Caenorhabditis elegans: one gene and its partner. The protein of the gene in region 1 interacts with the protein of each later gene in a biochemical or structural test. Each region holds a gene or a part of one and is shown in the gene's direction. Other genes may lie near its edges.

Region 1 (4,584 bases):
AAAAATTTGAATAAATATATTGCCCACGCAAATGTATATTGAACACACTGCATGTTTGCACTTTGTTCGTCATACAGAAAGTGAGACGACGACGACAATGAGTCATTCACTTTTTTATGACAATTCGAAATCTAATCTCTTGTGTCTCGAAGCGATTTCCTTAGAAGTTTTAATTTAAGAAACTACCTTTTATTGTTGTTTAAAAAACCATGATCCCCCCCCCGTGCAACTCGTTTCCGGAAACGGTCTCCATCAGCCTGTGTTTCGTCACTCTCACCCCTTCCCCATTTTTTGTTCCCACTCGGAAACTCTTTCTCTCTCTCGGGTTTCTCACTGTAACGATGGCCGGCACAACAGACAATGAATTTTGATATTTTTGTGTTTTCTGTTTGCACAGTTATTAGAGCATTTTCCATTTTTTTCGCGGGGTTTTCACAGTTTTTTTTGTTTGAAAATTAAAACAAAAATCATGAGTTCAATCAAAAATAATTATTTAGTTTTTCAATTATAAACGAATTTGGCAAATTTTTACAATGTTTTCCATTGATGGGCAATATTTTTTTAATGAAAAAAACCTACAAAAATACCAAAAATTTGAATCAAAAAAGTAATTTTTGATTCATTGCACACTTTTGAGCTCAAAGCAAAAACAGCACTTTTTTTTTCAAAAATTTTACCAAATTTTGAAAATAATTTTTTACGGATTTTTAGGTGTCAAAAAGTGTTTGAAAAAACCAAAATTTCTCAATTTTTGAAAAAAAATTGTTCAAAAAATATATTTTTTCGATTTTCAGAAATTTCTTTTTAAAAAAATCGATATCACACTTTGCTGAAAAAATATTTGCAAAATCTGTAAAAAAAAAATACAAAAAAACTTTTTTAAAACAAAATTTTTCCCAATTCTAGAAAAAAATCATTAATTCCGACCAACGAAAAATCGATAATTTTTCGATTTTTTTTCAAATAATTCCAAAAAAAATTTCTCGATTATCCTAAAAATCTTAAAAATCGATTTTTTTTAAATTGATTTTTTTAAAAATTTTCTAAAAAAAAATTTCCCGCTTTTTGAAAAAAATTCAAAAATTCTTTAACAAATGTTTTCTCCGATTTTCTGAAATTTTGAAAAAAAAACTAGATTTCTCGAAAAATAGCTTCAAATTTGTCCATTTTCCTCTTTTTTCCTCTTTTTAGAGATCAAAATGAACAAAATTTAATAAAAAGTTTAAACGATTTTTCCAAGGTTTTCCAGAAAATCGAAAATTCAATTTTCTGAAAAATCGATTTTTTCCCCTCCCCGAACATTTTTCCCTATAAATCTCGTTCTTTTTTTCGTCATAAAAAATGCATATTTTTCTGTTTTTTCCCTTCTCACATTCTCATTTTTCAGCCAAACCTCCACCAAAAAACTTCAAAATTTTTGCCGTTGCATTTCGAATGCGTGAAACACTGACCGATTGCTGTTGCTGCTGCTGTTGACAAGACACAAAATCTGCCGTAAAAGTGCACTTTTTTGAGCAAAAAGAGCAAAAGGAGATTAGATTGCACTTTTTTGAGCCAGAATGAGGTAATAATGACTATGGAGATGGGGAACTTTTTATGGGAAAATTTGAAAAAAAATTGAAAAAAAAAACCAAAAAATTGGCCTAAAAATTGCAAAAGTTCGGCCACGAGCTTGTGTCGATTTACGCAGCTCGTGTACTTCCCGAGGAAAAGTGTGAATTTTATGTTTTAGGCCAGTTTTTGGCGCTAAAATACTTGATTTTTGACCATTTTCGCTAAATTTTGATCGTTTTCACGTATTTTCGTTGTTTTCAGCATAAAATTATAAAAATTTTGAACAAAATACTATGAGTTATTGATAAAATCGCGAATTGAGTGTAAAAAAAATTTTCAAAAATCGATATTCTCCTCGTGGAGTACACGAGCTCCGTAAATCGACACAGAGGAGCATTTTTTTTCAGAAAAAAATTTGCATGCTCCTCGGGGAGTACACGAGTTATAAAATTTATTTGCCAATTTTTTCGTGCTGGGACCTAATAGGAATGCTCCTTTGAATGCAGACAATTGAAAAAAAACTGTTTTTAGCAGAATTCCCTTCAAAATGAAACCAACGACCAATCAGCGATTCGCACCGCCCACTTTCTAACCAATCAGTAGCTACAAGCATTCTGATTGGTTCAAAAGTGGGCGGAGCGGTTCGCTGATTGGTCGCTGTTCTCATTTTGAAGGGAATTCAGTTTGAGACTATTTTGGGGTTTTTTGAAGCGAAATTTTCATTCACGCTACTCTCCGCACGGATTTCTGGCTTCCCTCATAAATTGAAATGGAAGAGTTTTCCGAACTAGGCCATTTTGGCTCGGCCATATCTGGGGTAGATTTACGGCGCGTTGCGTGTCTCGTTGCGGCTCGATTTTAGTTGTAAAGCTAAATGTATTTGTCCGTGTGGAGTACACGACACTTTTCCACGCGTTGTCCGGCGGACGATTGTCAATGTAGCGCGAAAAATTCAATGAGCAAGGCCAGAACCCCCGTGTCTCCGCGATCTACCACCCAGCAAAAATCCATTTTTTGACTGATTCACAGCGTCTGACTGTAATGTTGACACTGAAGCTCTCTAATGTTTTTTTTGTGTGTGTGTGAGGTGATGCTGTGTGTTCCTATTTGCACAAATACCTAGTGTCCAGCAGAAGGAAGAGAACTGGATGAGCAGTGAAAAGAGCCCGTGCCAATTGCTGCCACTTATCATGTCCGGCTCGACCTCCGAGAGAGGGACGAGACTAAAATTAAATGAAATGAGAAACAATAAAAATTGAGTGGAAATTTAGAGAGTGATTGGATTTTTTTTGTAAAGTGGTGTAGTCGATTTTTTTTTATTGCTTTATTAGACTCAAATGTTTGTTTGAAAACACCGATTTTTTAAATGAAACTTCTTGAAAACTTCTCCAAAAAAAAAGTTATGACCGCTCGAAAAATGACCTAAAATTAGTTGAAATTTGAAATTTGAAAAATGCCGCAGCGGCTGGAAACAATATTTTGGAAAACTCCCGACTTTATTATACCTAAATGAAGTTGAAAATGCAAGATAATTGAATTGCATACTCAAAATTTGAAGGTGATTTCGAAAAAGTTAGTTTCCAGTCGCTGTGACAAGTCAAATTTCGAATTTCAACTAATTTTAGGTCACTTTTCAAGCCGCCATAACTTTTTTTTGAGAAGTTTCATTATAAAATTCGGTGTTTTCAAACAATTTTGAGTCTAATAAAGCAATAACAAATTTCGTCTGCAACACCACCTTTAATCAGATACCATTATTTAAAGTTTCGAAAATCTAGTAGGTTCGCATATATAAGTGGTCGGTTCTATTACATCTGAAAGAGCTCAAAATTCGCAACTTGTGCAAAAAGTTGATCCGAACCTTTTTTAAAAGATGACAAAAATCTCATTTTTTACCTTCTTCAATTTCGCCAACTTTCGAATTATCGAAAATATTCTCAAATTCCCTGAGAATGTCATATTATTAAATTGCGAGTGAAAAAAGTTACAATTCCACAAAAACCGCATTTACTATGATGATAGAAATTACTTTTTCACACTTTTTACCTCGATATTAGTCGAATTGCCAAACATTTTCGATTTCCGGCCACCGAAAAAAAACCAACTTTTTCTTGTCATTTTTGAAACAAGTATATTTTGAAAAAATGATTTTTAGTGCAATCATATTACATGTGCACGAAATTCGGAGAATGCGTAGTTTTTGTGTCGATATACGAGCTCGGTTCGATAAATCAATTAGTTTCGAGCCCGTAAATCGACACAAGCGCTACAGTAGTAATTAAAAAAATTACTGTGGTTTTCGGTACGAGATTTTTTGCGCGTCAAATATGTTGTGTAATACGCATTCTCAGAACTTAGTTTCATTTTTTCCCACCAAAAAATTCAAATTTTCCAGTAGCGAAGCATGTATCGCGACGGCAATGGCCCGAGTGATGACCTACAACGAATCGACAAAAGGATGGGTACTACTCGGCGGAAATGATGATTCAATGACAAATGTTCGCCTAATCCAAGACATTCGGCGACCCGAGTTTCGGATTGTATCCAACCGCGCTGACAGCACGAATATCTTGAATTGTAATATTTATCGAGGAATCAAATATCACAAGGCCACACCAATGTTTCATCAATGGCGTACCGAACAGCGGCGGGTGTATGGGCTGAATTTCGAGAATGAACAGGATGCGACAATGTTTTTAAGCATTGTGTTACAGGCGATTGAGACGTTGAAAGTTCATGATATGAATGGAATTAGTGATTATCAACAGATGCATCGTGCGTTTTTCAAATATAGCTTTCACACGACAAAAATCCCAAGATATAAAAAAACCTAACCAGAGATAAAAATCGAAAATAAAAAATTATCGATTTTCCGGAAAAACGAAGCATCATAACATTGTATAAAATTTATGTTTAGTTTTCATCAGAAACACATCAGAAAACGTATAATTTTTTTGCTCATTTTTCTACAATTTTTAATTTTCCGACACTACTTGAATAACCCCATAAATTATCAAAAAATCATCAAAA
Region 2 (4,576 bases), on another chromosome or scaffold:
TTCGGGAAATTTGAACTATAGTTTTCTATGGTTTCAGCAGAAACTTCACTTTTTTTTCAAAAAAAAAAAAACTTGAAATTTCCAACTTCAGAATGTGCTCTATACCTTACTTACCTATAACTACCTTACTGCTACCAAGTTTTTCTGAAAACTTTTTTAAAAGTTCTAGTTTTGATTGTCTTGTAATCTTCTTCATTATAGTTTCCTTACCGTATCGTGCCGAGCGACTCAATTATGAATAATCCTCTTATTTTTTATGTCAACTCTTCCAGATTACGCGCGTTCCTTCCATTATTTGCGCACTCTGAACTCTCCTTCTGTTCCATTTTCTCTTCGTTTTTCTATTCAACCAAAATTTGCATATTCTATACTCAATACCATATTGATGGTCCGGTTGTCCCACGAGACTTTATCATAAAAAGGTCATTATATGCTTCTTCTGCTTCTTTTCTCGCGCATTAGTACGTTTTTGCCGCTTTCTTTCCGCGCGGAAGAGATATATGTGTCCCTCTTTGCTGTCCCCGCCTTCTTTTTTATTCTTTCTTGTTGTTGTGCGGGGGAGGGGGGTATCCCTTGACTTGTATCATCGCTTTTGCACTTTGTTAGCAACGATCCCGACAGAGGGAAGGTCAATCACTTTTTTATGCAGATGTTGTTGTTTTTTCGAGGAGACGGAAGAAAATTTGGTGTAGATTATTTAGTGGTCAATTGGGTTTTCCTTCTGTCTTAAAAACTTTAGACCACACACTCAAATTTGGCCTTGCATCACTTTGCTCTACTTTAACAACTCATAAATATCTCGGTCTTCTTATATTTTATTGAGACATTTTAAACTGTAAAAGTAGGTGTCAAATAATTTGCTATATTTGTATAGTTGAACAGTTTTTCGTTGAGCTTAAACCACTGAAATATAAGCCGTCAATGTAGAGTAGTGTGGTTCAAACATAGGAAAATACGGTATTTAGAGAGCGGAAATCTCAATTTTGTTTTTGTTATTGTTTTATTTGGATTAGCTTGACAAGTCGTGTTTTGAATTTTTTCTAGATTGCAAGGGTTCATAATTTTTTAACTTGAGAATAAAAAGATTGTTCTACATACAATACATATTTTTAAGACTAGAAAAAGTGGATTTATTGTGACAATAAACTAGAGAAATCTATGAAAAAAATTCAATAAAAGTCTGTTTCCTGCTGATTGAAAACTAGATATTCAGAATTTAGTATACAAATATTATTTGCGCAAGTTTGGGCAAATACTTTGGATATTTCTAAAAGTCGAAAAACGAGCAATTTTTGATGCTAGATTTTTTGATTTGACGAATTTTTTCAGTTTTTTTTCTTTAAAAAAGGTTTTTGACCCCTTAAAGTTTTCCTTTCCCTTCCAATTTTTTCCTTCTTTCTTATACGACTTCTCAAGTTTCAACTCTAAAACAAAGCTACATGTACATTTCCGGTAAACTTTGTGTCTCAGAAGATCCATTTTCTTTTTGTTACATTTATTCAAGATTGAATTCCAAAATTTCAGCCAATATGGACAGTTGCGAAGAGGAATGCGATCTGGAAGTTGACAGTGACGAAGAAGATCAACTTTTTGGTGAAAAGTGGTGAGTTCTTATTGTGGTAACCAAAGAAATGTCAGTGGTCCGTAAACACTTGACTCCCAAATGGTTTCTCGTAATTACCTTATGCACACTTTTCAAGTGTTTGCCGTTTGATCTTAGCCAATTTGAAACGTTTAGATGTTAAATGGAAAATGGGTAAAGTTTTTTATTTTATAGAAAAAAGGTTTGGAAAAAAATCGAGTCACTGAATAGTTTGAAGAACGGAAAAATAAAACTTTCCAAAAATCATAAAACATTTAGTGTTTCGAAAATTATAGTGTTTTTTTTGTTGGTATGTTTTGACAAAAGCTAAACCATCTTTATTGTAGTTTTGTAAAATGTTCACAAAGATGCGTTTTTTTTTCAAATTTGGCAGGCTATCTTTACATTCACATTTGGATAATTCAAATTTTTCTTATCGCTAACAAATTTTCCTATTTTTCCAATTATTCGTTTTTATAAAGCTTTGGTAGTATGTTGTGTCTATCTTTAGTGGTCATCAGTTGACCGGACCTTCACCCTCATCGAGCAAAAGATTGCTATCTCAACTTGCGTTTTTGTCTGTGACTCACAATTTCCTATAATCTCTAAGCTGGCATGTTCGTACGTCCTTTACGCCTATCTCGTGCATTCAGATAACTTGATTATATGTTCTATTTGTTGGTTTATTGGCGATGCTTCTGAATTGATTACTTTTTCTTGTCGTGTTTCGTAACACTAGTATTAGCAGTAGCTTCAGCCTAATTTCCAGTTAGGCCTTTTTTCCAATGACCTCATTTCCCGTATTCTATACACTTGATTAGTTTTCTTTGGTTACGGTCATTTATCATTCGCAGATGATTTAGTGACAATCCGGCAAAAGAAATAGAACGGAAGGCCATCCAGATGTGATTTTCTATGATCTTTTCTTGTTGGCTGTACGGTTTTCCTTGAAACCTACTGGATTTTCGTTCAGAATTTTTTGTTGGTTTTCCAAAAATATGACTTATAGCTTAGATCGGAATGTAACAAAACTTTTGAATGTGTGTTGAAGTGTTCAGAACTTTTTATTTCATGTAATTTCTCCAAAGAAACCGCAGCCTTTTTAAAAAATTATCTAAATTATTTGGTAGGATACTAGATTACTCAGCCTTACTCAGCCCTAGGAAAAATAATGTCTCCACAACGCAACTCTACTTCCCAAACGACAGACAAAACTCTTTTTTGTGCAATTTTTTCAAGATGTTCTAAAGTTATGAAGCAAAGTTAAGTTACGAATCAATATTATTCAGAAATGTTCCATTTGTGCTCTTTTTCATTTGTTGCAAAGCTCTGAACATACCAGAGCATTGATGAATAAATCATTCGCACTCTTCCTCGTCTCTTTCTGTTCATTTCAATCTGTGCGCGAGCATGTTTCATGGAACATGTGTATGAATTCAAAAGAGACACAGAGAAAAGGAACGACATTCTGAAACAATGGGTTGTCCGTTCTCTTGTCCATTCTTGTTTCTGTGTTGCACTCTATTTCTCTTTTCTTTCACTTTTCTGACTTTTATTGCTGCTCTTGGCCATGAAAGTGAAATTCTCTGAATTTTTAAAGATAGTTGCAAGTGTGGTCTAATTAAGTTTGAAAGTCGGGGAGGTCTAGGAAAAGGTAACCAAGATACTAAGTAAGTTGGAAGAAAAACGGAGAAAATTGGTGAATTTTTTTCAAGAATGACAAGAAAGAAAGAGCTACATAACTTCAAGTCCGCGAAACGATTATTTTTCAATAACCATTAGTAAAATTTCGCAATGGCGTCTAAAAGTTATGAAAGTTTGCCAAAATTGATATCATTTCTCCTGAATCTCTAAATAGATTTTTTAAAAATAATTTTGTACTGTGAAAAATAGAAAAAATAGAAAAAACAACAAAAATATACAAGTCATAGATTAAACATTAACCAGAAAATCATCTATCAAAAAGTTGAAAAAACTTTATATAGCTCACATGGATTTTCAATAACGTTTTCAAGCCCTCTCTACAAAAAACTATCAAAAAATTTCTAATTAACACCATCCAAACCCCAATTTGTTTATGAACTAACTAAAATCCTCGAAAATCCGGCAAATCCTCGTGGCTAGCCAGGTGTTCATCGGTCCGTGTTGTTGCCATGTGTGTTCCATTTCTGATGTTCATTCATCGTTTTTACCGGAGCGTGTCCTTTCCGTCAGTTTCGAATTGCTTCAAACCTTTCAGTTTTGAATCACCAGAAGAGAACAGCCTTGTCATGGTAGAGTATGTTCACTTTCTTGACCCCTTTGACTCTCTCTTTGTCCATCAAAATGCTGTCGTTCACTCTTTGTTTGGGAGCAATTCATCAAAAATGTTGGCAGATTGTTCCCTGTTCCTCTTTCTTTTCTTATGAAGTGCCATCTACTTTTCAATTCTAGAAACTTGAAATATTCTTTCAATTTTAAATGTGAATTCAAAATAGAGAAGTTGATTCAGAAAAGCCCTTTTTTCAATTTTTAAAAAACTTACATTCAATGTTTTGGTAATTTACGAAATGTTCCAAAAATATGGGCATTCTAAGTAATTTCGAGCATTGGTTCGTCCTCAGAATGTTGAAATAGAGCAATATATGCAAATAAAAAAAAAGGCAATTAAAGTATAAAAACTCATAGAAACAAAAATCTGCCACACTTGAAATTATGATAGGTGCAAACTAAGTTTTCACAACACAATTTGAATTAAAAATTCAGACAAGTTTTTTGAAAAGATTTACTATGATATTTGAGTTTTTCCCATTTGGAGAGGTTTCTAACAAAATTACTTTCTAAGAGAAACACAACAAATTTCTAAATTCCATTGATGTGTTCCATTTTTCAAATTGATCCACTTAAAGAATGCATTCTCGTTTATGTAAACATGAAAGCATTCCCAATAAATTCCATTCATTTTACAGCATTTCCCTGCTCTCAAGTCTTCTACCACTTTCCTCGTCCACACTT

Evidence for each region.
Region 2: the proteins of unc-34 (region 1) and mig-10 interact in far-western blotting, tested with the Caenorhabditis elegans proteins (one study listed by BioGRID).

The regions. Positions count from the first base shown.
Region 1 is NC_003283.11:981,147-985,730, forward strand, and holds the start of unc-34 (WH1 domain-containing protein), read left to right. Parts: upstream 1-1,559; coding exon 1,560-1,564; intron 1,565-1,664; exon of another isoform or gene 1,665-1,760; intron 1,761-3,949; coding exon 3,950-4,329; intron 4,330-4,584.
Region 2 is NC_003281.10:8,277,579-8,282,154, forward strand, and holds the start of mig-10 (Abnormal cell migration protein 10), read left to right. Parts: upstream 1-1,529; coding exon 1,530-1,603; intron 1,604-2,066; exon of another isoform or gene 2,067-2,158; intron 2,159-2,860; exon of another isoform or gene 2,861-2,997; intron 2,998-4,530; coding exon 4,531-4,576. UniProt on the Caenorhabditis elegans protein: Required cell non-autonomously for proper development of the excretory canals and for the long-range anterior-posterior migrations of embryonic neurons CAN, ALM and HSN.